Nothobranchius furzeri: one gene and its partner. The protein of the gene in region 1 interacts with the protein of each later gene in a biochemical or structural test. Links are inferred from orthologs where the notes say so. Each region holds a gene or a part of one and is shown in the gene's direction. Other genes may lie near its edges.

Region 1 (2,945 bases):
TTATTTCAGGGTCCTTCGCAACTGCGTCCTGTCTTGTTTGTAAACAAAAAGTGGATTGTGAAGCTATAAGGGAAGATGTCTTTAATCAGGTACATTTTAAACTGGACCAACAGAACGTTGATCGCTGCTGCTGTTTTTTTACACCTGTAACCATAATGAGAAACTAAAATGTCTTTGGAGGGGTTCGGGTTGGTGAGGACGTTGGTTGATAAATGTCAAGTCATAACGTATACATGTAACTAATTTCACAGTATACTCTCCTAACCCCGGCTTTCCACGGGAGCCGTCAGCAGCACGTCATAGCTGCTGATAGGAACCGCTGTGGTCAACAGAACCTTTTCCACCGGAGCCGTCAGCAGCGCGAGTCGGCCGCGTCTCAGGAGCAGCATGTCGCGGCCCTTACGCGCCGGTTCTATTTTCTACGCGCGACGCCTCTGAAACGGGTCAAGTTCGACATTTTTGGGGAAGGAAAGACAGGAAATGGGACGCGGAAATGGAGAGAAGCTCCCGAGATTCTCAGAATAAAGAACGTACTGCCTTCCAGTTGCTTTACTTTTAAAAAATGTTACTAACTGTGCGTCCCCGTGAGAAGTTATCACCTAGCTAGCGGTCTCCTTTGTTTTTCAGGTCCGTATTGGCGATTATAAAAGGACAGAACATAAACCATGTTATAGTTTTCTCCTGCTTGTTGGTGTGTTTACTGACGAAGTCACTCGTGTGACTTCGTGCTCTGTCGGTGACAGCTGCTCCCCTGCTGCTTCGCGTCTCGTGGGAAGGGCCAAGCAGCAGCTTGCGCGAGCGAGACGTGCTGCTGCAGTAACGTGCTGCTGACGGCTCCCGTGGAAACCCGGGGTTAGCGTTGTTTCCATTGTCGGGTTTGGCTTTTCCAAGCTTTGTTGTTAGAATATTTTGAAATCTTCAGACTGGTTTTATGTGATGTTCAAAGAAACTTTGGATAAATTAACTTTCACAACATCCGCCTAACGAGTCCGTGCGAAAGACTGATGTAAAAAGGGTGTTTGGTGTTGGGACTAATTCAGGGTTCATACTAGAATCTACTTCAGGAAGTGTATCGGTTTAAATAAATGACAGAGCGTGCTTCTGCGACATGTTCCTCTCTAATGCAACGTCGTCCTGCAGGTTGTTCCTCGTTGTCTGAGGTGTCCGGATATTCCTCTGGCAATCATGAAACCTGACATCGTCTTTTTTGGAGAGAACCTACCAGAAATGTTCCACAGAGCCATGAAGCAGGACAAAGATGAGGTGGACCTCTTGATTGTAATTGGCTCTTCGCTCAAAGTCCGACCAGTGGCCCTCATACCGAGTATGATTTCAAGTGAACGTGCTTCTAGATACTTGCCACTCCTCTGTTGTGTTTGAGGTAAACTCCACCAATAACACCATGGCTTTCCATTTCTCTCAGATTCCATTCCTCACGAAGTGCCTCAGGTTCTGATCAACAGGGAGCCGCTGCCTCATCTGAACTTTGACGTGGAGCTACTCGGAGACTGTGACGGTATCATCAATGAGCTCTGTCACCGGTTGAGTGGAGACTTTGAGCAGCTCTGCTTTAACACTTTAAGACTCAACGAGATCACAGAGAAGCCCCCTCGGTTACAAGAACCACGACCAAGTGAGGCCTTGCCTGCTTTCAGTGATGCGGCTCAGCAGCAGAACGAGCCGTCGCGTACGGACTCTGTAAACAAGCCTTCAGAGGAGGCAGAAAGTCTGACTGTTACAGAAACTGCCGATAAGAACATTACACCTTTGGAGCCTTGTTCGAATGTGCAGTGTCCAAGTGAGGACGGTGCGAAGTCTCCGGAGTTACCAAAAGTGGAGATGGGTGATTTTAAAAGCCAAAACTCCAGCTTTGATTATCGTAAACGGTACTGGGTGAGCAGAATCAGCAGGAGTCCAATAAGCAAACGCCTCAACCGTAAGCTAAGCTAAGCTAATTTATACCAGTTACATGTCATTTGTTCAAATGTGTTCCGTCTTTCCTCTGCATGTATTCCTTCACGTGATCACACCACAACTATTTCAGCAGACGTGTCAAAGACAAACGAGCCGTGTTTCATAGATGCTCTGTTGTTTTCCACAGCGGGCCAGTACTTGTTTCAGTCACCTAACCGCTACCTCTTCCACGGCGCCGAAGTCTACTCGGACTCCGAAGAGGAGACGTCGAGCTCCTGCGGTAGCGACAGTGATGAGTCAGAATGCAGTCCTGGTGGGGTGGAGGATGACAGCGACCCAGAGGACGTCAGTGAAGCGGCGGCGGCGGACGGAGAAACACGCATCAAAGACATGTTTCGAAATTCAGCCAATGAGGAAGAGTCAAGTGTGCAGATCGACAGTTCTTCTGAAAAAGCTCACAGTGCCACGAATCAAGCGTAATAAGACTCCATTTTACAAAGCACTAATTCTTTTTTAGAGTGTACATATAAATAGGTTTCATATATATTTTTGAGTCATCTACTTCCTGTTTATCATAAAGTTGAAGTGTGTGTTTGCAGCAAGACTTTTGTCTTTCAGGTTTGCTCTGTTTTCACACTCACTGTGCTTAAACCCACTAGTTACTTTTCTACTTTAGTTCCCTTTGCTGTTGCAGCCATTGTTGCGTACCAGAAATGCAACATTAAACACCCTGAAACACCGGCGTGGCGTCGGCTGTTTTGGACTTGGTCGCTTAGGAATCATTACATTTTAAAATCTGAAGATTGAAGAGGTTAACGAGTCTGAGACAGATTTTATTTTTGCGCATGCAAATTTAGTTCTACTCCTTGAGTGAAAAACTGCAGAAAGATGGTTTTATTTCAGACCAAAGAGCTCAACATCTGCATACTTCTGTTTCTGGAAAAAGCTTTTTTTTTTATTCGTCTTAAGTTTTTAAATGTACTTTGTGATCCTCCTGACATCAGGCAGCTACTTTCCTGGTGAAGCCTCAT
Region 2 (3,672 bases), on another chromosome or scaffold:
ATGTTTTTAAAACCTCAATAAGTGATCAAATATTAGAGCAAAGTATTAAAATAATAAAAAGTGGTAAAAGAGCTGTACATTATGGGGTGCTAATTATAAGAGAGTACAATAAAACACTAAATTGTGTTATTTTTCACATTTCATTAAATGCAGATTTCAATATATAAAGATTAACCTAAATATTAAAATCTAAAGATAAATGTGGTGGTTTATATAAAGTGTGTAGCCAAGTCAAATAAAATAAAAGCAAGGTGAAGAGATCCCTTTTCTAACATCTTTACAGTCCCATTGATGGTAAAAGCCTGTTTAACTATTAATTGTATGCTGATGTGCAAGTAGAACCCACACAGGAATACTGAGGTGCACCAAGTAGGCTAATTCAAATCGGAATCTTTCTGCGTTCTTTTGTGAATCAGAAAGCTATAAACATAAAAAGCACACAAACGTTCAGTCAGTCATTATAGCGCGTCACACTGGTCCCAGAAATCTGTAAATCCAGGACTTTTGCATCATCAACTCGGCACATAATCCATTCTTTCTTGTTTCAGCTTTCTCAAAAAGTACTCAAAAATTATTTACAATGCCATTTTCACACGGTTAGTTTAGTTATTATTATTATTATTATTATTATTATTATTATTATTATTATTATTATTATTATTATTATTATTATTATTATTATTATTGTAAAGTGGGAACTTTGTGTATTGTAAATTGTTTTCCGGGGAAGTCTTTCAGTCGGTGCACACATCGAACCGGATGTTATCCTTTTTTACACGCTCCTCTTGAGGTTTTGAGGACTTTAAATATAGATTTTTACCGGATAAATTGTTGATATTACAGAGTATGTCGCTGTCATTGGTAAGGAGAGGATTGGAGCTGCTGAACGAAGATATTAAAGGTCAGTTCTAGCCTGTTAGCTTGTTTTAATGACGGTCAAAGGCGGTGACGTCTGTGATGTTATGCTTTTTAGGGTTAAAACGAAGCACGAGGAAAGCAAAAGAAAAAAAGCTTCACTTTTTGCCGAGTCTTTTTATGAGTTTGTTCAAAAATAATTTAAATAATAAATAAACTGCTCATTACTTCCTTCATTACTGCTACTTCACCTGAGAAAATGTGCCGCAAAATAATTGTGGAGATTATGTATTTTTGCACTTTGGGGATTTATTTAAAATAATTTGCGCATCAAACTAGGAATTTCTTCTGCTAACTACTAAGAAGTGAAACATGTCTTATGATCAGAGAACTTATTTTAAAAAAGGCTGAATAATTAAAAGACTAATGGCAAATATTGAGAGTTTAGGGACAATCAAACCAAACTTTCAGTGTAAAGAATCAGAAGTAAAACGTGAACATTTGCACCAAAGAGACTTGTTATTTTAAAGACTAGGCAAATCATTGCTTCTCTACTATTGTCACAAAAGTGCTGTTTACATTAGAATCACCTGAATTTGTGCAACATTTTTATAAACTTGGGTATTCTCTTCCTTTCATTTTTATTTTCCCAGATGGTGGTAAAGGGAAGAAGAAAAAGAAGGAGCAGACCCCCAGCTCAGCTGCAGTGATGGAGCTGGTGAGCACCAAGAGGCAGGGGGTCACCAAGCAGGTCAAGAGGCTGCAGGGTCGCCACGGGTCTGGAAAGAGTAAAGCCACAGTCAAAGACAAGAGGATCAAATCAGCAGTCGGTACGGAAACCCTTTTAATTGTGTAGATATGGATCATATCTGCTCCTAAATCACTATCAAAACACACAAATGGCACAGGGACACCTTGATTTTAAAGTCCAGAGAAGAGCAGGAGCCTCAGAAGCTATGCATGTTTACACGGAAGTATGGAAGTCCTATGTGTTTTTTAATTTATTTATTTGTTTTGCTGTGTCATTTTCTCCCCTGCTAGCTCTATTGTGTTTGTGTGTAACATCTTAACTGTTTTCTGAAGATGTTAAGTACTTGTGTCAAATTATTTGTGTTAACTAAATTTAAAAGAAGTGCATAAAATCAAGAAACTCAAAGCCTTGGCCACATCTTTAGATGCTTAAGCTTAATGAACATGACATATAATGTCTCTTTTTTATTATTTATTTATTTAATTATTTATTTATTTATTTATTTATTTATTTTTTTTGCAGAGGAGTTCCGAAAGAAGCAGGGTCAGAGCCAGATGAGTGCCAACCTGAAGTACTTTACAACAACCAGCAGCAAAGCAACAGAATCTGATACATTAAAGGTAAAGAAGGGTTTACTTTTGACATACCATCCATGTTGACTTTCTTAATTATCATCGCTAATATTGTAAGCACGTCTTTTAGCATCGGACGCAGTGCTTTTAAGTTTTAAGATGTCATTCTTAAACAGTGATCTAAGTATCTTAAATAATTTAATTGAGCCAGTGTGACTTGTAGATTTGTTACATTTTTGACCTGATTTCTGTCTAATTTAGATTTTGAGCCACAATTTAGGAAGGCAGTCAAGGAATTGCACCGACAAACCCGTCAAAAAGGCCAAAGAGACCCAGTCTGTGTTCACGGAGGAGGAGTTCGAGGAGTTCCAGAAGGAATACTTTGGCAGAACTGTTGAGAAGAGGAAATGATAGCGAACATAAGAGCCGCTGCAGCCAGAGCAGGAGGACAGTGTCACGTGGATTATATGGATGACTCTGGAAGTCATTCCCACTTCACCACACAGGAAAACCGTTCTGTTTTGTAAAAGACATACAGACTATAGTTAAGGGTTCATATAAGGCCTACTGAGTAACTGTCACCTTTTTCTTATACTCAACTTTGCAGAAAATGTCTGTTGAACTATTTTATGCTTGTTTTCATCTGGCCACATTTTGGGGAAGTCAAATGTTTAGATTTATGGTTGGAACGTTGGAAATAATGTATCTTTTCAGGGAAAAATCCACTTTGTTGTTTGTGCTTTTGAATAAACTGAATGATTGACTCAAAAGATTAAATTAACTTCAGTTTACCGCGTCATACAGTTCAGATTGACTTGTTGCGTCGCCATGATCCTTCTGCTCTTTTCATACAAGCTCAATGAAAAGCTATTGTTGTAAAGCATGGACAGATGTTTCACATTGTTTAATCCAGCTGTTATTAAAAGGGATGTAAAATTAATACCATGTATCTTCCTGGAATTTCACACAACTCATGCTTTCTAGAAATAAACCTTTGTCTGTACTTTGTAAAGAGTATGGAATGATGCTTTTTGTAATGAATTGAAAGATGACAGGTTTAACCAGCAGCCTTTCTGAAAAATCACATTTAATCTCCACTAGTATAAAACATTCTGTCTCATAGGACCTTTCGGATGTTTTGATTTTGTTTTTAAATAAATGTTGTGGAGGATGAGAAAAGTCCATCTGCCTTTAAAATATTTAAAACAGTTTCTCATGAGTGTTTCCTAATTAAAGAACACATTGTGCCCTGGGGCCGCTGCAGTGATAATCCGGCCCTGCAGGTGAGCATCACAGTGAATCAGTGGAGTAAACTGAGCTTTAAATATTTTGATTGTATGCTCTTTTTCTGCTCCACAACATGAAAGTTAACAGGTGAGATATTGCATTTCCATTTTCATCTGCTTATCCAGAGTCGGGTTGCGGGGGCGGTAGCCTAAGGCGAGAGGCCCAGACTTCCCTCTCCCCAGCCACTTGGCCAGCTCCTCCGGGAGA

Evidence for each region.
Region 2: the proteins of sirt1 (region 1) and rps19bp1 form a complex in vitro, tested with the Homo sapiens proteins (2 studies listed by BioGRID and IntAct). The link is inferred for Nothobranchius furzeri from reciprocal best matches to the Homo sapiens genes SIRT1 and RPS19BP1.

What each region holds. Positions count from the first base shown.
Region 1 is NC_091752.1:5,646,330-5,649,274, reverse strand, and holds the end of sirt1 (NAD-dependent protein deacetylase sirtuin-1), read left to right. Parts: intron 1-9; coding exon 10-89; intron 90-1,140; coding exon 1,141-1,324; intron 1,325-1,423; coding exon 1,424-1,936; intron 1,937-2,101; coding exon 2,102-2,394; 3' UTR 2,395-2,403; downstream 2,404-2,945. UniProt on the Homo sapiens protein: NAD-dependent protein deacetylase that links transcriptional regulation directly to intracellular energetics and participates in the coordination of several separated cellular functions such as cell cycle, response to DNA damage, metabolism, apoptosis and autophagy.
Region 2 is NC_091746.1:76,506,155-76,509,826, forward strand, and holds rps19bp1 (active regulator of SIRT1), read left to right. Parts: upstream 1-718; 5' UTR 719-846; coding exon 847-901; intron 902-1,508; coding exon 1,509-1,685; intron 1,686-2,128; coding exon 2,129-2,226; intron 2,227-2,439; coding exon 2,440-2,589; 3' UTR 2,590-3,360; downstream 3,361-3,672. UniProt on the Homo sapiens protein: Part of the small subunit (SSU) processome, first precursor of the small eukaryotic ribosomal subunit.